3 linked regions of the Pelodiscus sinensis genome follow. The protein of the gene in region 1 interacts with the protein of each later gene in a biochemical or structural test. Links are inferred from orthologs where the notes say so. Each region holds a gene or a part of one and is shown in the gene's direction. Other genes may lie near its edges.

Region 1 (7,908 bases):
CAATGTCTTTATCAGCCTTGATTGCTCCTTTTGTATCTCGATTGTCCTGTGGACCCACTGGTTTTTTAGCAGGCTTCCTGCTTCTAACGTACCTAAAAGCATTTTGTCATTGTTTTTTGAGTTTTTGGCTAGCTGTTCCTCAAAATCTTTTTTTGCTTTTCCTATTACAGTTTTACACCTAATTTGACAGTGTTTGGCTACATCTCAACTGGCATGATTTTCCGGAAATGCTTTTAACGGAAAAGTTTTCCGTTAAAAGCATTTTTGGAAAAGAGTGTCTAGATTGGCAAGGACCCTTTTCCGCAAAAGCACTTTTTGCGGAAAAGCGTCCATGGCCAATCTAGACGCGGTTTTGCGCAAAAAAAGCCCCGATCGCCATTTTCGCTTTTGAAGGGGAAGGAGCACTCTCATCCAGCCTGGCACCTCAGTGACTCCCGTTTTTGTGTGTCCTTCTGCGTGTGGTCAAGGCTGCTCCGCAGAGTCATCCACCTTGCCGATGCTGACACGGTCATCGAGAGGTTTGGCGCCCTGGGCTTCCCCAACTGCAGGGGGGCTGTTGATGGGACACACATCCCCATCCATGCCCCGGAACACCAGGCCTCCCTCTACATCAGCCAGAAGGGATACATTTCCGTTATCCTGCAGGCTGTCTCTGACCACCTGGGCCACTTTATGGACACTGATGTGGGCTGGTCCGGCAGAGCACATGATGCGTGGGTCTACCTCAACTCCTCTGTGTGCCAGAGGCCACACACCGGAACTTTCTTCCCTGACCACCACATCAGGGTCGGAGATGTGGACATGCCTGTCTGCCTGGTGGGGGATGTGGCCTATTCCCTACAGTCCTGGCTTATGAAGCCCTACATGGGACACCTGAACCCTTCCCGACAGGCATTTAATGCCAGGCTCAGCAGGGCCCGTATCATAGTGGAGGGTGCCTTTGGCCAGCTGAAGGCCCATTTTAGATGCCTCCTCACCCTCCTGGACCTCTCAGAGTGGAATATTCTGCATGTGGTGGCAGCGTGCTGTGTGCTGCATAATTTGTGCAAGGGAAAGGGGGAGGCTTTCCTTCCAGCCTGGATGGCAGAGGCCGATCACTTGGCCAGCCTGTACATGCAGCCCCACATGGCTGCCATCTGGGAGGCCCATCAGGAGGCTGTCTGTATCTGGGAGGCCCTGCGGGAGAGCTTCTACCTGAATGAGCACTAAAAGACTCCCTGGTGTGCCCCACTGTGGGCTTGAGCCTCATTCCTCTCTCATGTCCTTCCATGGACCCGTCCTTAACCCACCTTCCTGCTGTACAGTAAAAGACACATGTATTCAAGAAAACAAACTCTCTTTATTGAACAAAACTGGGGTGGGGGGCATGAAACTCAGGTGAGACTGGGCAAAGAAGGTGGGAGAGGAGAAGCGAGAAGGGGAGGGGGAAATGTGGGAGGAGGGAGTTGGAAGGGGGAGACAAGGGGAGGAAGGGGAACTGCCCCCTGTGGCCCTGGCATATGCCTGCCGCAGCGCCTTAATTTTCATCCAGACCCGATCCTGGGTTTGGATGTGGCCTTTGGTGGCCAGGCTGGCAGCCATCCGGCTGTAGACGGCCGTGTTCCTCCATCTAGTGCAGAGATCATGGAGGTTGGAGGCATCCCCTCAAACCTCAGTCAGGTCCATGATCTCCGCACTGGACCAGGAAGGCGCCCACCTTTTCAGGCCCCTGGCAGGCTCCTGAGAGCTGGCAGACTGGTCCTGAGGAGTGGTGAAGAGATGGCTGCCAGTTGCTTGCTGGCTCATGTTTGGGCCACTGGGTCAGGGGCAGCAAATACTGGCTCTGGGCTGGCAGGCCAGGAGCTAGCACAGGCACTGTGGCCAGACTCTACCCCTTTAAGGGCTCCAGGGAGAAGGGGAGGAGAGGAGTTTTCCTGGTTGGGGCCAGAGTGGCCAGCAGCGACTCTGGGAAGGGCTGGAAGCCCCCTATTTTGAAATAGCCCCTTTTCCGTGTCCACACAGCGCTTATTTCGAAATAGCAATTTTGAAATTGACGCTATTCCTAGTAGAATGAGGTTTACCAAGTTCAAAATAAGCCCTCCGCTATTTTGAATTAATTTCAAAATAGCAGTTGGCTCGTGTAGACGGTAATACAGTTATTTCGAAATAACGGCTGGGATACCCTCTGGGAATTAGCTTTTTGATGCTGGAGTGCCCCCTTCTGGCTGGTGTCTCCCCATGTCTCTGCACTCTGGGGCCCCCTTCTGGCCAGTGTCTCCCTGTGTCTCTGCACTTTGAGGTCCTCCCCCCGGGAACCTCAACCCCCTATGCCCTCCTTCCCTCAGTGACTCACTGCCAGTCTTCATCTAGCCCCTTACCTCAGGGGCAAGCTGCAGTCTGATAATTGGCAAGGGGGGTGTGGACCTGCTGCCTTTGCCTGCCCTTTTCTGCTTACCTGCTTCTCTGCAGCCCTAGTACACTCAGGCCTTGCTACAGGCTCTGCCACCTGGAAGCTTGCCTGGCCAGAGCTCCCCACCTTGCTTGCCTTTCCCCAGCCCTGCACTAACTACAGCCCTAGTATCTTCAGGCCTTGTCTCAGGCCCTGTGGCTTGCGAGTGAGGTTCGGCCAGAGCTCCCCAGCTCTGCCTGCCTCTTCCCAGCCCTGCTCTGTCTCAGGAAGCCCCCAGCTTCCCTTGCAGCCAGGTCCCTCCTTCTCCCCAGCTGGAGCAAGAGTGTCTCTGTGTCCTCCCTCCAGGAGCCCTTATTTATACAGCCCCAGCTGGGCCCGAATTGGCTGCCATATGCTTCCGCTGCTTGCTCCACAGCTCCAGCCCTCTTCCAGGGCTGGGTTTTAGCCCTTAAATAACCAGTGCAGGCAGATGCCCCCTCACAACCTCCATAACTAAATTTGAGTTAAGGTTGCCAGATGGTCTCCCAAAAAATACCGGACAAGTGGTATTTTTTGGTCGAGCAAAAAAAAAAAAAAAAAAAAAGAGGAACAAGGGATAATAAGCCCTCCCTCCTCCCGTTCTGGGGCACCCAGAGAGGCAATCACAACCCTGCCTCCTAGCTGGGACTTCCAGGCTGGGAGGCGGGGCCACGATTGGCGCTGGAAGCCTGTGATTGCACAGAAGCCTTGTGGAGGACGGGGAGGGGCTGGGACTCCCAGCCATTCCCCCCGCCCCTGTCAGGCTTCTGTGCAATCACAGGCTCCCAGCGCCAATCGTGGCCCCGCCTTCTAGCCAACCCCCTGCCCATGCCAGGTTTCCGTCCAGTGCACATCCGGAAAATTCAGAGTATACCGGACGTTGCACATGCCCGGTATTCCCTGATGTTGTTTACTGGACAAAGAGTGCAAATACTGGACTATCCGGTAGAATACCAGACACCTGGCAACCCTAAGTTGAGTTCCTAGAGTTCCTACACACACAGTAATGGAAAACCTTTGCACTGTCCTCCAACTGTCCCCAGGAGAGACATCCTGTGCAAACCTTATGCCATATACGGGTCATAAATACAGAGCTGAGGACAGAAATGCCAGTCCCCTGGAAAAGGGAGTAGGGGCTCAACACAGGCATCTCCAGGAATGGGCAGGGTAGGGCCTTGGGTGGGAGGTGCAGACTGGTAGTTAGTCTCCCTCCATCGGCCCTTTTTGCGCTGCCCAGACTGCATGGTTTGGGATGCCGGCAGCCATTTAAAAGGGCCTGGAGCATTGCAATGGCAGGGAGCCTCAGAGGCCTTTTTAAATCACCAGCCCCCCCAGGGCAACTGCTCCCTTTGTCTGTCCCCCCCCAGCAAGCTGGAGTAAGCATATGAGAATGCCACACTGCTAATTATATGGAGATATACCTATGTCATAGAGCTAGAAGAGACCTTGGGAGGTCATCAAATTGAGTCCAGTGCTCAGCCCTCATGGCAGGACCAAGTGCCATCCCTGACAGACTTGCCCCAGACCCTGAAATGGCCCCCTCAGGGATTGACCTCACAACCCTGGGTTTAGCAGGTCAATGCTCAAACCTCTGAGCTATCCCTCCCCCAATTGCTAAAATTAGACCTGAGAATCAGAACAAGGATTCTGATGTGTGCATTGTAATATGTTCATATGATATACGTGTACGGGAGAGAGGGAATCAATGTGACATTTGAGGCCTTGAGTTGTGCTAAAGAAGGTTCCCTTAACTAGGCATTTTCTTGGTTTTCAAGGGATGGCACAAACTGAATCCAACCCCCACAGCCTTTTCTGGTGGTGGGAATATAGATGCACATGTGTACATTCCCACATAATTCTCCACAGCCAATGTACCAGTCTACTGGTATGGACATCTCATGAAAAAAACCCAACACGCTCCCCAGATTAAAGCATGCAAACTAGAGCTCATAAGGATTACAGTTATATTCAGTAGGCAGCATACTTCAAATGTGTTGCTGTGCTTCCTTGTTTACTTATTTAGATTCAGATAAAGGAAGTGGTGAGACTGAATCGCTGACAAGTTTTCTGAGAAGAGACCATTTTGTACTTAGAGGAAGCAGTTGCTCTCTTGGATATTGTTGCACCATAACTCAGAAATAAAAAGCAAGACGGTTTAACAAAAGCCTGGGGCATTTATTAGGCAAGTGGATTGTTGAATTTACTGGAGGTAGCCACAGGCTGGAAATCTATGGCTCTCTCATTAATACTCCTGGCATGAAAATTCTGTAGCTGATTAGGAAAGAAGAACAGAAATGGATTTACAAAACCTTCCCTATCGCTCAATGGTGATTGCTTGGAGCCCAGATGACCTGGCAGACTACTTCAAGAAAGTAAGTTGTGTTGTGTTTTGTCCTAGTATGGAGGAGTAGCAAGGTGCTTTAACACTTCTGTGCTCTTGCTCCCTCTTCCCCCCACAAAAAACTTTTTACCCTAAGAGCCGAATTTGCTACATACATCATATAAAATCATCTTTTTTGAATAATCATGGCAGATGCACTTCAGAAAGTCATTATACCTGCCCTGGTTTAATGAAGTCCTTAATGAATCCTGAAAAATGTATTCTAAATTAATAGCAAGAGAAATCAATTGTTTCTTGGGAAAAAAAAATGCTATAATCTTTGGTACCAATGCCTTGCTATGTTACATTCAGTTTGGATCCGTAAAAGTTAAGAGTTAAGGAAGCTAAACATAGTAAACCTATTTTTTAAGGTAGGAAAGTTTTATATGCAGATCTCATAAGGCCTCTCCAATGAAATTATTCCTATGACTTTCATAATTAAAGACCCTCACTAATGAAGATGCACACATGAACTCTGCTCTGGACTGAATTGCTTTCCTAATTAGCATTACAAAGGCTTGTTATGTGACAGGGCTTGGTTTAAAATCGATAGTGTTTAGCAGAGGTGACATTCTCAATCTACGGGTCGCTCCAGACGTTCCAATCTTTTGAACAAGGATGTCAGAGCAAAAGAGCTGCTGAACCTGGTTAGGTGGACACACAAAAGAGTTTGTTGGCATCTGGACTGGGGTTTTTAGAAGGGAGTTGGGTGCCCAGATTCAAGGAGAGTTGATCTGAGTCATGGACAGCCGTCCTTTTGAAGTGAGGTGATGAACTAAGACTCCCATGCTAGCTGGAAAATGAGACCTGGAAGCGATTTTGTCTGGTTGAGCTCACACAAACAATGCAGAACACTTCCTTGTGATGTTGTAGTTGGGTGAGGAGGACAGGAACTGTGCCTAAGGAAAATGATTCCTTTGTAGCATAGGGGGAGAAATGAGAAACATTCTTTCCTCCAAAATAAATAGAATACATAGAATATTATCCCTTCCCGAGCTCAATGCAGCTGCTTTTATTTGTAGATTGCCTGTGTTGATATTTTGTCTTTGAAATTGAAAGCCTTTACCAATAATAATATCCATAGCGATAATCATAATTCTTTGGAGAGGCAGGTTTCAATAAAAAGAGATTCTGCTACCCACTGCCTCTTCCTGCCTCAGGATCCCCACTGACCTTCCTCCACATCTCAGAAAGATCCCTCATCTCATTTCCTCATCTGTTCTGTTCTGCTGAGGTGGTTGGGCTTCTGACACTTCCCCCCTTCTCTATCTATAGCTTTTCCTCAAATGCACTAGCCTGGATATTGCTGGTTCTTTTAACTTTCACTTTGCAGAGCAGAGGATTTTGCACGCCGAGGTGTGGAGGGGCATTTAAAATGGCGTATTGGGGTGCATTTGTAGGAGCATTGCCAGCAGAGCTAGAGAAGTGATTATTCCCCTTTATTCCACACTGGTGAAGCCACATCTGGAGTATTGTGTTCAGTTCTGGGCCCCACTACAGAAAGGATGTGGATGCATTGGAGAGAGTCCAGTGGAGGCAACAAAAGGGATTCTGGGGCTGGAGCACATGACCTATGAGGAGAGGCTGAGGGATTTGGGTTTATTTAATCTACAGAAAAGAAGAATGGGGGGAATTTGATACAGGGCTGGCCTTATCATGAGGCAAACTGAGGCGGCCGCCTCAGGTTCCAGACTGTGTGTGTGTGGGGAGGGCGGTGCCACTAGGACTCAGAGTGTAGAAGGGGGTGTCACTAGGACCCAGAGTGTAGAAAATTGTCTCTGCTGCCGATGCATATGTAGATAGCAGAGCAGTCCCATGAGAGAAGTAGAACAGGAAGAAGGCAGAATTGAGACCTTTCAAAGTTTTGGCCCACGCGAGGGGACAAGGAGGTGTTATTTGAGCTCCCCGTCTCAAGTGCCAAAATGTTGTGGGCCAGCCCTGATTTGATAGCAGCCTTCAACTACCTGAAGGGAGTGGGTCCAAAGAGGCTGGAGAGAGGCTGTTCTCAGTGGTGACAGATGACAGAACAACGAGCAACAGTGTCAAGTTGCAGTGGGGGAGGTCTAGGTTGGATCTTAGGAAGAACTATTTCCCTAGGAAGATGGTGAAATACTGGAATAGGCTACCTACTGAGGTGGTGGAATCTCCATCCCTAGAGGTTTTTAAGTTCTGGTTTGACAAAGCCCTGGCTAGGATGATTGAGTTGGGATTGGTCTTACTTTGGGCAGGGGGCTGGACTCAATGACCTCCTGAGGTCTCTTGCAACCCTGGGATTCTATGATTCTAAAAGAATAGGCAAAACTCAGTGCTGATTTGCTCCCTGGTATCTCACTGATGCTAGGAAAACTGCATAGGCTATAGGTAAATGTTGAGTTTGGTCCATTTTTACAGCATCTTAAATATATTCAGTTGTACATTCATTTTCCATCATTTCCCCCAGATTTTAATAGTCATCTACACTTACTTGTGTTACCATGCTGACTATAGTGCATGTTCACAACAAATTCCAAAACCTTCATTACAGTGCAGAAAGGTCAATCCAAAAGGTTTGTGAAGACTTTCGCACCATTTCAGCAACCCAGTTTCAAGTGGATATGATCAACCGGGGACAGTTTATTATTTGGTATTGAAACCATGCAAAATTCATGGTTTCAATCGCTTTCACTGGGTTTCGTTTGGGGGAGCTGGGACAAGTTCAAAACCAAAATGCAAAGTGGAGTTCATGGGTAGCAAAGGCACACAGATCAAAACCAAAGCAAACGTTCGCTGGTGGGCCTGAGAAGTGAAACCACCAACTTTGCAGTGTTCTAGTTCCAACTGTTTTGTTCCTGCCTAGCTGTGTAGTAGAAGGAAACCAAGATCTTGAGATATCTTAAATTAGACAGATCTTATCATTACTGAGAACTAAATTTAAATCCAAATTCAGCAGACTAATCAGGAAAGCACATATCTTAACTGGTGCACAGGGTTTTAGATCACCATTAAGAGGAAACAACCAAGTGAGGTGAAATGGCTTCCTGATATTATCTATCATACTTATATATGCCCCCCGCTACTGTAATATCGGAGAACCTCATACTCTTTAGCATATTCATCCTCAATAACCCTGGAAGGTAGAGAG
Region 2 (8,450 bases), on another chromosome or scaffold:
CTGTGGCACCTTCTAGACTAACGGAAGTATTGGCGCATAAGCTTTCGTGGGCAACGACCCACTTGTTCACACGCATGTTAGGGTGCTACGGGACTCCTCGTTGCTTTTGCACATTCAGACTAACACGGCGACCCCTCTGATACTTAATCTGCTTTGCTATTCCAAACACTTCCTGACTCTCAGAGCTCCCCGTGCCTGTGTGCTTCGGCGCCCCAGGCTTGAAACAGGCCAGAAATCTGCACTGTGGACAAAGCAGACATCACCATGTACTGCCACGGCAGGGTAGTGCAGGCTCCCCCACATACACGCACCCCTTGGGGGTATGCAGACATCTTCCAGAGGGCACATCAACTCGCCTAGGTATTTGCCTACAGCAGGGGTCTCCAACCCTTTTAAGCACAAGATCACTTTTTGAATTTAAGTCAGCCCAAGATCTACCTCAAACCCAAATACCCCTGCTCCACCCCTTCACAGAGGCCCCGCCTGCCTCACTCTGTGAAGATGGGGGACAGGAGAGGGGGACAGAGAGACATCAGTGCCCCCTGCCTCTGTCTCCCCCACCCTGTACCACAAGCAAGAGGCTCCTAGGGGCAGCTCTGAGGCTCTGGGCAGGAGCAGCATGGCAGTGCGGGTAGGGGCAGCTGAAGTGCTAGTGCTTGACAGCCTCTCAGCCAAACCAGTCAGATCCCCTGTCAGAGGCTCCAAGATCGATTGGTAAATCCCGATCGACTGGTTGGTGACCACTGGCCTACAGGCTACATAAGAAGCACTCTCCAAGCTAGCACGAATGAAAATTTCATACAGAGCATGACTTTTTTACACTCTAAAGGCTACGTCTACACTGGCCCCTTTTCCGGAAGGGGCATGTTAATTTCAGCGATCGTAATAGGGAAATGCGCGGGGGATTTAAATATCCCCCGCGGCATTTAAATAAAAATGTCCGCCGCTTTTTTCCGGCTTTTAGAAAAGCCGGAAAAGAGTGTCTACACTGGCCCCGATCCTCCGGAAAAAGCGCTCTTTTCCGGAGGATCTTATTCCTACTTCAAAGTGGAATAAGATCCTCCGGAAAAGGGCGCTTTTTCCGGAGGATCGGGGCCAGTGTAGACGCTCTTTTCCGGCTTTTCTAAAAGCCGGAAAAAAGCGGTGGACATTTTTATTTAAATGCCGCGGGGGATATTTAAATCCCCCACGCATTTCCCTATTACGATCGCTGAAATTAACATGCCCCTTCCGGAAAAGGGGCCAGTGTAGACATAGCCTAAGGGTATGTCTACACTTGCAGCCTATTTCGGAATAGAGCTGCAAATGTAGGCATTCGGAATTGCAAATCGAGCCATGGGATTTAAATATCCCATGGCTGATTTGCATCTTTCCGTCTGGGCACCATTTTTTGAAATTTACTAGCCTGGAATAGCTGCCCGCGTCTACACGCGGCAGTGAAACGGGTGTTCGAAATAAAGCCCTAGTTTGAACTACCTGTTATTCCTCCTGCAATGAGGTTTAACAGGTAGTTCAAACTAGGGCTTTATTTCAAACACCCGTTTCACTGCTGCATGTAGACACGGGCAGTTGTTCTGGGCTTGTAAATTTCAAAAACGGCGCCTGGCCGGGAAGATGCAAATCAAGCACAGGATATTTAAATCCCAGGCTTGATTTGCAATTCCGAATACCTACATTTGCAGCCCTATTCCGAAATAGGCTGCAGTGTAGACATCCCCTAACTGAAATGTAAGTACAAAATGTATAGAAGTCCAATTGATTTTTAAAATAATTATATGGTAAAAATAAAGAAGTGAGCAATGTTTCAGTAACAGCATGCTGTGGCACATTTGCATTTTTATGTGTGATGTTGTAAGCAAGTAGTTCTGAAGTGAGGTGTAACGGGGGAGGTATGCAAGACAAATTGGACTCCTACGTGGGGTACTGTAGCCTGCAAAGGTTGAGAGCCCTTGTCCTCTACTACCATGATATTTCCCTGGCTTCCCATTTAGGCTTCCCGTTAGCTTAAGTGCAATTTGGCTTGGAAGCGGAGAGATCTGGGGTAGGACGTTCCGAGTGGGGAGGGCATGCAGCGTGGCTGTCCTGTGTGCAACGTTAAACCGTTAATATAGATGAGTGGGAACAATCTCATACTGCTGCAGAATGAAACGTAAGACAAGAAATCCCAGATTGGAAGCTGTCAATAGAACCCCGTGAGGGGAAGGGGAACAACATTCAGGGGCAATCGGTTCATCAGATGCTTTATCTTCTATTTCACCTTTCGCTCGGCCGAGGATCTGAAAACACGTTACAAACCTCTCTGGGCACGTCTAAACAGCAGGGCTAAAGCTGGAATCAGCCACAAAACTTCAGCTAAGTCCAAATAGCTCATTTCGGCTTTTGGTGCTGTCTACAGAGCAGGAAGTCCGAGTTAGCGCCCTCTTCTGCCAACTTCCCTTCCTCCTCGCACAGTGAGGGTTACGGGAGTCGGAGTGAGAAGTCGTCCAGCTCGACATCATGTCGAAATAACGGCTTGCGGTGCAGACGCGGACTCTGGTATTTTGGAATAATGCTGCTGTGTAGACGTAGCCTCAGTGGATTAACCCTCCGACTGCTATGCCTTGATGTTTCCCACACCTGCACCAAGGGACGGCCCGAGGTATTCTGGCACCCCGGGCATGGGCGCACGGCGCTGCCCCTGGGGCTCACAGCGTATGCGCGAGCTCGCCCTTGGGGAGCGGGCCCACCTCCCTAGGTAGCGCAGGCTCACCCCCTGGGGCGCACGGCGCATGCGTGGCCTGGTTACAGCTGCTGACGTGCAGCCCGGGCCTGTCCCTGGGGCCCATGGCACATGCGCGGCCCGGCTACACCCGCTGGTGCACAGCCCAGGGCCTGCCCCTAGGGTGCACAGTGCAAGCGCGGCCCAGTCTGGCCCAGTTGTTGCTGCTGGCGCATGCACTGGGCCATGTAGGGCCCTGCGGCCATAGAGGGGAAGAGCGTTGCTGGCCGGCACCGCGGAGATGTGGGCGGGCCATCACTGCGGGAGTTGGGCGCGCGGGACGCCGCACGCCCCTTACAGCTGCCATCAGGCACCCCCCATCGGTTGGCGCCCTGGGCAGCTGCGCGGCTCGCCCATGCCTCCATCCAGCCCTGCCTGCACCCTGTCTTCACAGGGGACACCCCCCAGAATCACCCTCCAAATCTAGCTGGGATCCAGCTTGCACCTGTCTGAGAAGGGCAGGGAGGTTGTGATACCTCCCTCCAGGTTCAGTGAATCTCAACCCCTGCCCTTTAAACAGGCAGAAACCACACCCGGGAGGAGGCCGACCACGCTGGTGCCAGGAAGGCCCAGGCAGGTTTGCACACGGAGGGAGGGACTATGTGACCACTGCCCTCTTGTGAGAGCCATTCAGAGCTGTGCTTCCCTCTAGGGCGGGGGGGGGGGGCAATAATTTTTGACAGGGGGCCCTCCAAGAATGTGGACAGTGGCCGAGGGCTGCACCCTTCCATGATATGAATGGAGGAGGTGCGGGGTCTGGGATGGAGGTCGGGTGCAGAAGGGAGCTTGGGGTAAGGGAGGGAGTTTGGGTGAAGGGGGCAGTTGTGGCCTGGGGCACTGGACTGGGGGACTGGGGGCTGGATTGTGACCTAGGGCAGGGAATTGGGGTACAGGAGGGGATGCAGGGAGTTGGGTTGTGAGCTAGGGACTGTGATCTGGAGCAGGGGATATGAGTGCAGGAGGGGGGCAGAGGATTTGGGTATGTGGAGTAGAGGCCAGGAGTGGGGGGCTGGGGGTTGGGGAAGGGAGGGCCTGGGGTGCCAGAGGCAGAGTCTGGCCACGAGACTTACCAGCCAGCAGCCCATTCCTGAAATCAGCCTCCCTGCCAGCCAGTGTTCCCTCTAATCTGCGGGAGCAGCCCAGCTTCATGGGTGATTCATCAGCCTCCCCCAGTTAGCCCTGAGCCTCTGGCTGGGCAGGGCTGATTAATCCCCTCTGAAGCAGTTTAGAGGGACCACTGCCACCTGCCCCGCCCCCACAGGCTGCAGCCATGTGCTCTGGAGCCCCTTGTGCTTCGTGGCTGCCTGTTATTGAAACAGGCCACTCCCCTTGGCTGGTTTCTGGCCAGACACCGGATAATGGCATTGTGCTGGGGATGGTAGCAGCTGCTAAAGCTTCCCCCTCCCCTCCAGACTCTCAGTTTTTAAAGAAAAACCGCCCAGAGCGGCGGTTTGGAGCGCGTGCGGGTGGGGCGAGGCAAGCAGGAGCCTGCCTGGGGCAGAGTCCATGGGCTGGATCCGATGGCGGGGCAGGCCGGATCTGGCCTACAGGCTGTATTGTGCCCAGGCAGCTCTAATGGCAGGAGGCCGAGGAAGCGGACGGACTCCAACATCCGCGTGCAGCTCATGGCGTGTCTCCCGAGGTGCACTGGACCAAAAGCCAAGGCCCCACTCCCCCAGCCCTGCACTTGCTTAGGAGAACCGAGTTTCTTTACCTCCCTCATTTGAGGTTGTCCCACCGCCCAACAGGCAGCTATGCAACCAGATCAGGCGGGTTCTGAGAACTTTTGCCCCCTTCAGAGCTGCAGAGTTTTTCTCTCGTCTTTGCTTTCCTGTCTTTGCAACAAGGAAATAGGTCACATTTCAAACAGCCCGTACGCGGGGGTTTGTCAATGTCAGTCAGCACAGGGGACAGGACGTGGCCCGTTTCCCTCCTGCTCGCTTCCAAAAGCGCCACGGCACATGCATGCCCGGGAATATCGGTCCCTCTCACCATGCCTTTGATGTAAGGGACCAGCCGAGCCCTTCGCCCCGTCTGCAAGCCCAGGTAAGCTGCCGTGCGGGACTCGCTCGGTCCTTCATGCCGCTGCTGGCGTCCCTTCTCTTCTTCTTTCTATGCATCCTGAGCGCGCCGGGGGCCTGCTGATGGCCACAGCGCAAGGCCTGAGTCTAAATCCAGTTGTGGGCCCAGTTTTGCCCAGGGTTACTCTGGATTTCATGAGCGGAACGGAAGACCAGAGCAGAAGAAAGCTGGGGGCAGTTAGACTCATGATGGTGGTTAAATGGTCTGACATCCTGTTCGCCAGGGCGGCTCAAACTTTTCCACCCCCGGAGCCACCTCCAGAACCTCTCTCCCAGCACCCGTGGCCAGGGGGGATGTAGCCAGCACCCCTGGCCCCTGTTAGCCACATGGGAAGGAGAGCGTGGTTAAGCTTCCCTGACATTTACGAACCCCGTCAAGTACAGAGCGGATCAGGGCCAAGTCTCAGCGCCCAAGACGCCCCACAAGACAGGCTGTTGGCAAATTTTCACCATTCCCCTTTGTTCCTTTGTCATCCATGTCATCTTGCCCTGCACTTGTCTGGCAAACACGGGCACCACTGCAAAGCCCTGTCAGTCTGGGCATGGTCCGGGGGGCTATAGAACAAAGTGGAGCAAAGGAAATTGGAGCCTTTTTTAATGGCCAGATCTGTCAGAGGGTGGACAAAGCCCCCGAGGGAGGCTCTGGAGACCCCACCGCGTGGGTCAGCTGTAAGCAGATCAGGACAAAGAACGGGAGAGAAGCGCAGAGGGAAGGGCTCTGTCTTGGCCGGGAGCAGGGGTTAGGTGAGCTCGAATATTTGCCACCTCTGCCTGATTTGTGTGTGTTGTCAGTTCAGTCGCCTTTCTCCCCCGGGGGAGGCTCCTCTGTGGCCCACTGGCATTGTGTTCATGCTTTGGCCTCGCAAGTGAGCAATCCGGAACGTCGGAGCAAACAGGCTCGAAGCCGCGGTCGAGTTCCGTCTTAGCGTGTCCAGCCGATGGGCTTGGCTTTTTCAGGACCTTGGGACCCTATAGGCTGCCTCTCTCCGCTGCTGCCTCTGCGCACCAATGGAACGGGCCTGGGACCTGTTACGAGCAGTTGGCCCACTGGGGAGTTAGCCTGGAAACTGGATGTGCCTGGGACACAGGTTAAGAGTCATGAGACTGAGGGATTTGGGCTTGTTCAGTCTGCAGAAGAGAAGAGTGAGGGGGGATTTGAGAGCAGCCTGCAGCTCCCTGAAGGGGGGGTCCAAAGCGGATGGAGAGAGGCTGGTCTCAGTGGGGGCAGGTGGCAGAAGAAGGAGCAATGGGCTCAAGGTGCAGTGGGGGGGGGGCTAGATTGGATATTAGGAAAAACTATTTCCCTGGGAGGGGGGGAATCTCTGTCCCTAGGGGTGTTTAAGTCCCGGCTGGACACAGCCCTGGCCGGGCTGATGGAGTTGGGGCTGGTCCTGCTTGGGGTCTCTGCCTGCCCTGGGGCTCTAGGTCAGGCTTTGCGCTGGGTACGCCAGGCAGCCCTCGGGCAGCCAAGGTCTGGAAAGGTCGACTTGGCTCCAGCAGGGCAACAAATCTCTTAGCAAGGGCCCCCCGAGCCGGGCCAGTCGCGCAGGAAGCGGAGAGCCCAAGGCCTGGCCAGGCCCTGGAGCCAGAACCATTTTGCACCTCGGAGGGCAGAGCTGAGCCGTTTCCTGGGGAGAGAGGAGGGACGCTGGGACTTGCTGCTGCCCCGCCGGGTGAAGCCCTATGGCAGCGAGGGGCAGGGCAGCGGCCAGAGTCGGTGAGGCGGGTGCGGAATCACCGACGGGGGAGTGCCGCTGCTAACCCCGCTGCCCTCACGGAGCGCGAGCCAGACTGCGACCCGCGGCCCGTCCAGCGACCTCGGCGGCACGTCGCTTTGTTCCCCGGGTGCCCGTCTCCCCCGTTCCTCATGGCTCCTTCGTTCATTTGCAGGCTCTGGTCAAGCTCCCGTTTGACAGGGTCTAGACGTACCAAGCGGGCAGGGTAACCTCACGGCCTAAGGGCAGCGCTGCAGAGTTCTGAAGATGGGGGGACGGGAGGGGTTTGTAACAGAGCAAAAGGCCACGGCGGCTCCGTGGAACGCTCTCGCTCGTGGCCTGTCAGTGGCAGGGTGTGTTTAGACCAGACTCTGCTGCACGGCGCTTGGGGCTTCGGGCTTCGCTGCTGCCCGATGGCGCACGCCCAGGTCCAAGCGAGGTCAGTCTGGAACGCAAGCGGGAGGGGGGCGGGGTGAACGAGGTTCACGTGGCGTCTTCTCCCAGCAGGAGAAAAGGGGATCGAGCGGCTCCCTCGGAAGGACAGCTCCTAGGGGAGGGAGGGCCAGTGGTTAGAGCAGCAGCCTGGGTTTCAGGAAGCCAAGGTCCAATTCCCTGCTCTGCCCTGAGCGGCCCGAGGCACAGTAGGAGAGAACAGCCCTGCATTGCCCTCCAGGGCTGCTGAGAGAGCTCGGGAGGTGCTTGGCTCCTCCAGCGACGGGGCCGGCTACATGCCCGAGAGACGTCTGCCTTGGCCAGCACAACGGGCCTTTCACCGCGCAGTGCGTGGAACCCGGGCGCCCGCGCAGCCATGGCGCCTCCTGCTGGTCACGCTGGGAATTGGCACCCTCAGCGCTGGAGCGCCCCTCCGGCCGGGTTCTGCCACCTGACAGTAGGAGCCGCATCCCTCCCAGACCACGGCGCCCCCCCTCGGGGCACTGACCCCCCCCAGAGTCACCCCGCAGGGACCCCCTATCCCCCTGTCACCGAGGGGTGGGGAGTCCCCGGGCCCTGCCCCCCCAGCCGCGGCCAGATGGGGCTCTCAGGTTTCTTAGTTCTCAGGGACACAGCGCAGCTCAGACTTGTCAGCGCAGGGACCAGACGCAGCCAGTGCAGCCCAGCTTGGGGGGGTCCCAGCCCCCCCCCCGCATCCTAAGCCAGCCGAGACTCACCCCCACACCCAGCAACCGGCCCCAGCCTGCAGGCAGCCCCGCCCCCTCCTCTGTGCGGCTCCCCAAGCAAAAGGTGTCACCTGCCCCCCCCCCAGGTGAATGTTACAGTGAGCCTGGACCACTGATGGTGCCAGGCTGGGCAGTGAGCCACACCTGGAATTCCCATCCCCATCTAGATAGCGATGCAGTGCTCAGGGAAACCGAGGCACACACACATAGGACAGTAGAAACCACCATGCAACAGAACAGAGCGAACATAATCCCCACTTCATCACGCCCCTGCACCCCCCTTGCCTCAGCGACCCGCTGCCAGGCATCTAGGCAACCTGCAGTGGCCACTCATCATAGGCAAGGGGTGGGGAGTGAGGGCAGAGCCCCCCAGCCCTGCTCTGTCTCAGCCAGGTCCCTCCTGCTCTAGAGCTTGAGCAAGAGTCTGTTCTCCTCCCTCCACAGCCCCAGCCGGCCCTTAGTTCTCTGCAGCCCCACTTGTGGCTGCCTACCCCTCAGCATCCCCGCATCTACCCCCCAGAGCCTCCCAGTGCAGGGAAGATGTCCCCTCGGAGAGCTTCACAAAGTGCCCTGGGATTGCATCATCTGCCCCTGAAATGCAGCCTGCTCTGGGGTGGAACAGCCACTGTTTGTAACAGAGAACAAAAGCCAGCGAGCGAAGGGTGCCACGTGAAACTGCAGGGAGAGGCAAGATGCCCCAGTCCAAGGGGCTATTTTG
Region 3 (8,139 bases), about 33 Mb from region 1:
TTCCCCCATCCTCATTCACTTTCACCAGGCTGGTAGGGGGTTGGGGTGCAGGCTCTGGTCACGGGCCCAGGGCAGGGCCGGATTAAGGGGGGGCTAGCCGGGCAGCTGCCCGGGCGCCAACCTATGGGGGCGCCTGATTGAAGTGGTAAGAGATGCCGCATCAGGTGCCCCCCATAAGTTGCCGCCCAGGGCGGGGCCATGCATGCCTGGGGGCGCGGCGCCCTGTACACACCAATGAGGTGCCGCACGCCCGGGGCGCAAGAATGGCTCGGGCCCACCCTGGCCAAGGGGTTTGGAGTATGGGGGGGGGCTCCCGGCTTAGCCCAGGGTGGGGGATTGGGGCCCAGGAGGGGATCCAGGGGGCAAGCTCTGGGAAGCAGTTTGGGTGCAGGGGGACTCACGTCTGGGGCAGGAGGTTGGGGGCAGGAGGGGGTTCAGGGGCAGGGGCTGGGGGCAGGGGTTCAGGAAGCAGGCTCTGGCTGGGCACCGTTTCACTGAGACGGCTTCCACGTGGTGGAGCAGCAGGGCTAAGGCGGCTCACTCCCGCCCCGGCCCTGCACTGCTCCCCAAAGCAGCTGGCACGTGCAGCAGTGACTCCATGGAGCCATGCGCTGCCCCCATCTACAGGCACGGAGCCCACAGCTTCTACTGGCCCCGGTTCCCCATTACGGACCAACGGGAGCTGCAAGGGCGGTGTCCGCAGGCCAGGCCACCATGCGGAGACCCCCTGCTCCACATGCCAGCCCCGTCCAGGAGCAGCTGTTCCCACGGGGATAGGGACTCCAGCCAGGGCAGGTTCGGCATTTGAGAACTCGCTGCTCCAAGAATTACACCGGCGTGTGAGAGAGAAATGAAAATGATGAAATGCACCGACCAGTCAAACACCGAAACTATCCCCCTTTGCGAGCAGTAACAACCCCCCGCCTGTGTGTTGGGCCGGGAGAGGAGAGGGAAGGATGGTGTGCGTGTGTGAGAACGACAGACGCACACAGGGTGTGAGAGTGACAGATTTGCATCGTCAAGCTCCCTCCATCCCCGTCTGACTGTGTGGAGATAGGGTACAGGAGTGGAGGGAGGAGGGACATCCTGACACCAGCGCCCCCCCCTTCTCTCTCCACACCAAGCGGGAGGCTGCCGGGGGGGCAGCTCCAAGACAGAGGGCACCGTGACCGCGTGGGGAGGCGTAAGTGACGTGACAACGCTTGAAAGCCAAACCAGTCAGGATCCCCTGTCTGAGCTCCAAGATCTACCAGTAGATCCCGATCGACTGGTTGGTGACCACTGATCTAGACAGTGCTTGGTCCTGCCGGGAGAGCAGGGGACTGGACGCGAGATCCCTACCACGTCCAGGGTTCTATGACTCTTGGGGTTCATTTTGCCTCCCTTTCCTCCAGATCCAGGCCGTATCCAAATCTGGCATCTCCTCCTCCTCAGCGTCTCCATTATTTTCCCTCCCATACCCTTAGCCAAGCCCCCACTTCGGACCTTCCCTCAACCCCCTTGGGTCTGGCACTATCTCCCTCTTTGGGCCATCCAAAGCCGGCCTATTTACACCATGCAAGCTGCGGCTGCCAGCCTGCCTGCAGACATGATCTCATCGCCCCTCTCTTCCAATCGCTCACTGACGCCCCAGCTCTTATCGCACCAGAATCAAGCTTTGAAAACACGTCTGCCCTCCCCATCTACCACCCTCGTCACTTCGCCCCCCACATCCTCCCCGCTCCTCCGGTGTTATTCCCCTCAGCTGCCTGTTTATCAGCTTCTCGCCTCTTCTTCTGCCGGCCGAGGTGGGCCTTCTCTTCCAGGCCCCTGCCCCGCCCACATGGGAGTCCTTCTTGAAGATCCACTTTGGCCACTGACAACCGTGCCTCTAGCTGTCCCTCACAGTCATTTTTCAAAGGAAGCCAGATTTCTACTTCTCGCTCTTCTCTCTCTGCAGTCAGAGCATGATGCGCCTCATGGATGTTCCTCCCGGCCTGTCAGGACCGCATCTCGTATGTGGTGGGGCCTGGCCGGAAACAAATTCGAAACGAGGCCAATAAGTAATCAGAGCTAGCCGCGTTATGGCACCTCCGGGCATGGGAGGCCTGGTTCTGATCTTAGGCTGCCTGTGGAAATCAGGAGACGGTCCAGTGAGGTTACTGGAGCTAAAACACCCATGAGAACAGAACCCGGCCCAAAGCCAGTAACAGTTCCCAAGCGGTCATGTCCGCCAGTCCTAGTTCTCTACAGCCTTAGCTGAGAGTCAGCCGGTTTTTAGCTCAGGCTGTAGAACAGGGCTGGACAAGATGCGGCCTGGAGGCCAAATCCAGCCCACCTCACACTTCAATCCGGCCGTGGGCTGCATCTGGCTGCTTTCTATTTATCTCCTGCTGCCTGGGCCACCAAACGTCCAGGAGGCAGCTCAGGCAGCAGGATCCTATTTAAATGGCTCCCGGCTCCCACTTGGGGTGCTACCTCGGCAGAGGATAGAGCCACAAGCCCTTTGCTGTGTTTTTAATTCAATGCCCCCAGCCCAGATAACTCTGGGGGCTAGTCCCCAGCCCCGCCCCCTCCACCTCAGGCCCCGCCCCATCTGGGGGTGGAGCCAGCCCATGACCATGCATTAAGTGGCCCCCTTACGAACATTATTGCCACGCCTGCTGTAGAGGGTCATACTCTAAGCTCCAGAGGTCCCAGTTTCGGTTCCAGCTGTCGGCGTTACACCTAAATGACAGAAAACCTTGGGGGTACATTTCAGACTCTGCTACATATGGGTGTATGATACATTATGGGCATATACTCTGCAGGCACAAACACCAAAATAAGCAGTTTGAACCCTTGCCTTTGCATAAGCATTACAACTCTGTAACACGCAGGCAGGTATTTACACCTATAAAGCAGGGGTGCAGTTGTGTGAGATGCACCACGTTGCAAATCAAACTGAACATTTGGCCCTTGATTTCTGTCTCGGCGCCTGACATGAAATTCACCCTTTATATCAGTGCTGATTCTGCACATACATTAAATAACATTGCCTCTGGAGTTTGCAGACAGCCTAAGGGTATGTCTACACTACCGCCCCAGTTCGAACTAGGGAGGCTAATGTAGGCATTCGAAGTTGCAAATGAAGCCCTGGATTTAAATATCCTGGGCTTTATTTGCATCTTCCCATCTGGGTGCCATTTTTAAATCCCCTTAGTCCGAACTAACTGCCCGCGGCTACACACGGCAGTCAAACATTAATTCGAACTAAGGACTTAACGTTAACTCGAACTAAGGAGTTAGTTCGAGTTAACGTTTGACTGCTGCGTGTAGCCGCAGGCAGTTAGTTTGGACTAATGAGATTTAAAAATGGCGCCCAGACGGGAAGATGCAAATAAAGCCCGGGACATTTAAATCCTGGGCTTCATTTGCAACTTCGAATGCCTCCATTAGCCTCCCTAGTTCGAACTAGGAGGATAGTGTAGACATACCCTAAAAGAATAGCTCAAAGAGAGGTATGAACTTTCCCCATTCATCACAATTTGGTATTAACTCTGGAACCTAATGGTGCCATTTTAAAAGTGAGCATTGCTCAAATGATCTACAGGCAAATAATGGCCAAGAGCAACCAGCACAGTGCTTATCCCACAGCCCTAATTCAGAGTTAAATTCAGAGGCAGAGTAAAATTAATTGCAATTAATGTCAAATAAAACAGTGGATGTTGTACTGATTGTATTAGTCACTTCCACATTAATGTAACAAAACCTTTCACTTTTTCTTTAAATTCACCTCAAACTGCCACCGATTTTCCAGTCCAGCCACAGTGCAGTGCTACAGAAATGAACAGCTCTTGATATAGCATTTAGGTGTACCTTTGCCACAGATTACATGGACTTTGATACACCTAGAGCATGTATATTCTGCCTACACTTTCTTGGAACATTCACCCACAGACTGCCTTCCACCCGGCCACATCTGGAACATTCAGCAATTAGTAAGCAGTTATGTCATTGCGACGCCCCCTGCCTCAGTTTCCCCAAAGCGCTTTGCCATCTACTGACAAAACGCACTACAAAAGAGCTCCGTGTTATTAGTATGAATAATCATTAATGACAATATTGAAAAGATATAAATAAACTTCATTGGTATGGCATCTCATAACACATATAATGAATGTAACTTCATTTATACACCAGCTTTTAATTGCTCGGATCTGCAATTTGTCAATGCCTACACGTCAGAGTCTTTGTAGTTACATGCTACGTGTCTTTGAAATATAGGTTGGACTTCCTTGGTCCGGCACCCTCAGGTTCCGAACCAGGGAGTTTTCCGGACTAGGGAGGTCAAGGCTCCCTTCCCAGCCATCAGACCCTCTGGAATGCTAGCCCCGATCACTGGGCTCTGCTCCCAGCCTCGGATGGGGCTGCGTTCCCTGCCGGGCTGGCCTGGGTTGTACTCCTGGCTCATGGCCTAGTGAAGGCTCTCGGGCACTGGACCAGAGAGTGCCGGATTTCAGAGGTTCAACCTGTACGTCAAACAAATGACACTAAGTACAGTGCATGAGGTGAGAGATAGGCTGGAGGTAACACAGACCATACCACCCGTCTGTACAAGGAACGTGGATGTATGAAATCCTCCCCAAAGCACGAAAAAGATGCTGTTTCGTTATATCCGAGTCCACCCTGAGCAGACATCCCTATATTTGCTAAGAGCGGGTTGAGTGGGCCATTATGTAATCATGCCACAACTTTTAATTAATCCCCGAGCCTTTACAGAAAAATCACATTTGTCAAGAGCGCCCATCACATTTTCATTTTTTCCACAACATTCGCCGTAGAGTATTTTTCAGCATGTGCTGTTCACTTGATGACTTGGGAGAGGATGTGGTTACGGTTTTGACAGAAAGGAAGCGCTACAGTGCTGCCTAGATGACAGACGGAAAGATAAGGCTTTGTGCACCTACGCTGCCTTTCAAACACCTTTTTTTTGTTGAAAAAATCAACTGCCCTCTTTCTTGTTTCTCTTTTCTGGACTTGTGCTTGGAGTGCGGGTCTGGGACCGGCGTGCGGGGTCCGGGAGGAGCGCCGTGCCCTGCCGAACCATGAATAATTGTGTTCTCCTGGAAGAGCAGCTGATCAAAAAATCCCAGCAGAAGAGACGGACCTCTCCCTCCAACTTCAAAGTGCGCTTCTTCGTTTTAACCAAATCCAAGCTGGCTTATTTTGAGCATCGCCATGGGGTACGTGAGCCATTTTCTCTCTCGTTTTTTTGCAGGCTCGTGAGTCGAGAGTATTGAACGGGAGGGGGGAACAGTGTATGCTGTGAAATCCCATGCGCCCAACATCTACTTAAACTAGCTACTGGTGGAGGGCCCTCCATGGCATTCTGTGCCCACCCAAAACTTCCCCATAGGTCAGTGGCGGTTTGGCGTGTCGAAGGAATGGAGGATCAAACCTGGTTTGAGCAAAGAAACGTAGCGCGGTCTGAATACCTGCCTCCCTCCAAGATGCCTAACTGACTGTGTACTAGGCAATTCAAATGGATAGTGCTGTAGCTCGGGGCATGTTTTGATCAAAGTTATAAAGTTGGGTAACAGGGATTCTCGCCATACGTTTTAATTGCATATAGAAAATCAGACCAAACAAATTGGAACTGGGCAGACACTCAGCTCCAGTAGAAGGATGGTTCTCTGCATGACGGACTCCATGTTTGTTAATCAAAACTCTCGAGGTCAGGTTCTAACGGGGTCAGTTGTTTCGGGGAGTAGGCTGTAGGAGGGGGTCTGATATTCAGATGCACTCAGACTAAGCACATCTCAGATGCCTAGCCCTGAAACTATGAAAAGAATTAGAAGCTAATGTGTGTTAGCAACCTTTTATGGGTGCTTTTATCAAAGCAAAACTCCCATCGTGTCTCCTTTTGTGCATATGGAAGCACACAACTGGCTGGAGCCACCCGTTGTAACCTTACTCAGTTTGTTTGCCAGGGTCTACAAACAGGGACATCAATACACGACTTTAAGGGTGTATTGCTGCTTGTAAGTGTTGTTTCTCTCCAGTTGCACTGCCATGTTTCTTTTGAATTTGTAAGAATCCATTCAGGCACCATAAAATGCATGTGGTTTATTTTAAATACTATATTTAAATTTTTTAAAATATATTATTGCAATCCAAGATGTATATTTTCAGTTTGACTGAGAGTGTCTATTCTGTGGTCCAAATGTCGTCATTTGAAGAGTTAAGATGTTAATACAACTACGTAGCCTAGTAAGAATGGGAACAATTTTCACAAGTGCCTAATTGATTTAGGAACCTAAGTCTCTCTGGGTCTGATTTTCAAAGACATTTAGTTGCCAAAAGTTGCAGATAGGTGTTCTTCAAAATCCCTCTATGTGCTTTACTTTGGTGCCTAGCTCCCTTTAACAGGCACATAACCTGGCTTGGCACTTTTGAAAACCCCATTCGGCATTTATCTGCATTTGGAGACACCTAAATACCTTTGAACATCAAACCCACGGACTTTGAACAGGACAGCAGCGTGAAAGTCACTTCAGTGCTCTAGAAAATTATACCCCCTTGTGCCCTAAATCCTAATGAGGCAAAAATGGGACGACGTATAGGGCCGTAACAAGCTACATATCTAAGCAAACTTGTCAAAATATGTCCTTGTACCATTTACAAACATCGGAGTGTGCCAAGATAATTGCAGCGTATTTGGCATGCACAGCGGACGTGCTTCTTTTACCTCAAATGTAAATGTGCCGAACCAGAGCAACGGCGGAGTAACTTGTCATAGCTTCATTTAAGTCAATAACACTGTCCCCTGAAGTAAGTGAGTTAGACTAGCTGAGGAGTTAGAACCCTAGAACTGGAAGGGACCTTGAGAGGTCATCAAGTCCAGTCCCCTGCCCTCACAACAGGACCAAGCACCATCTAGCTCATCCCTGGCAGGTGTCTGTCTAACCTGCTCTTAACTATCTCCAGCGATGGAGATTCCACAACCTCCCTAGGCAATTTATTCCAGTGTTTAACCACCCCGACAGTTAGGAACTTTTTCGCTATGTCCAACCTCAACCTCCCTTGTTGCAGTTTAAGCCCATTGCTTCTTGTCCTATCAGCAGAGGCCAAGGGAAACAATTTTTCTCTCTCCTCCTTGTAACACCATTTTAGGTACTTGAAAATTGCTATCATGTCCCCTCTCGGTCTTCTCTTTTCTCTAAACAAACCCAATTCTTTCAGTCCTCCCTCATAGCTCATAGATCTTTCATAATTTTTGTTGCTCTTCTCTGGATCCTCTCAAATTTCTCCATCTTTCCTGAAATGTGGTGTAAAGAACTGGACACAGTTGGCCATTGTCTATCACTAGGTTTGTCTCCTGGAGGCAGGTATATACAACATGCACACAGCTATACCAGTAACTGTAGGACCTGATACTCCACTGTGTAGCATTGGGTTTGTGCCAGTGTAAATCGTCTTAGCAGGTCCATTATATTAATAAACCTCCCTGGTGCAAAATGAAGATAGGAGTGCAGATAAGGACCAGTTAGCCCTGAAGTATGAACTCTTTTGCTTATCTATGACAGTCAGAGCAGGTAATTCTGTGCAGGCTTCGGCATTGCCTCATTGGTCTCCAATCTGGTGGGACAAGCTCTAGGGCTGAGAAGGTGGCTCATGCTACCCACCCTTTTGGTCTTCGCTTGTCTCCTGAGTCTTCCAAGGGCCGGGCCGACACCACCACTACTTTTCACCGGCGGTAGGAAAATGTGGCTTTAGCACCCTGGCTTGACATGATGGTTTCCCAGTCTTCTGAACTCAATGTGAGGGTCTCTTTGGATGTCCATTGTAACCCTCTGGTGGTGCATATGAGCAGAGATTTAACATCTCTACAAACCTGGCCCAAAGATCGACTGTGTTAGTTCATTCCTTTCTCTGGCCTTACCATGCACCCTGGTCCTGGTCCAGCCAAGAGTTGAAGCTCATGCCTGATCTTGAAGCAAAGCACAGAGAGCAGACGTGGTAAGTGCACAAGTGGCCCCACGGATTCCAGTGGGACTGCACACACCTGGGCTGTGTCCAGACTCCATGCCTCCATCGACGGAGGCATGTAGATTAGCCAGATCGGAAGAGGGAAATGAAGCCGCGATTAAAATAATCGCGGCTTCATTTAAATTTAAA

What was found.
Region 2: of the proteins of LCP2 (region 1) and ZAP70, one has a biochemical effect on the other in vitro, tested with the Homo sapiens proteins (2 studies listed by BioGRID). The link is inferred for Pelodiscus sinensis from reciprocal best matches to the Homo sapiens genes LCP2 and ZAP70.
Region 3: the proteins of LCP2 (region 1) and ITK form a complex in vitro, tested with the Homo sapiens proteins (2 studies listed by BioGRID, with this or other methods). The link is inferred for Pelodiscus sinensis from reciprocal best matches to the Homo sapiens genes LCP2 and ITK.

Annotation. Positions count from the first base shown.
Region 1 is NC_134727.1:6,090,493-6,098,400, forward strand, and holds the start of LCP2 (lymphocyte cytosolic protein 2), read left to right. Parts: upstream 1-4,449; 5' UTR 4,450-4,701; coding exon 4,702-4,779; intron 4,780-7,908. UniProt on the Homo sapiens protein: Adapter protein primarily involved in signaling pathways within T-cells, as well as other immune cells such as platelets, mast cells, and natural killer (NK) cells.
Region 2 is NC_134729.1:26,548,460-26,556,909, forward strand, and holds the start of ZAP70 (tyrosine-protein kinase ZAP-70), read left to right. Parts: upstream 1-4,600; 5' UTR 4,601-4,804; intron 4,805-8,450. UniProt on the Homo sapiens protein: Tyrosine kinase that plays an essential role in regulation of the adaptive immune response. Regulates motility, adhesion and cytokine expression of mature T-cells, as well as thymocyte development.
Region 3 is NC_134727.1:39,217,913-39,226,051, forward strand, and holds the start of ITK (tyrosine-protein kinase ITK/TSK), read left to right. Parts: upstream 1-4,902; 5' UTR 4,903-5,066; coding exon 5,067-5,204; intron 5,205-8,139. UniProt on the Homo sapiens protein: Tyrosine kinase that plays an essential role in regulation of the adaptive immune response. Regulates the development, function and differentiation of conventional T-cells and nonconventional NKT-cells.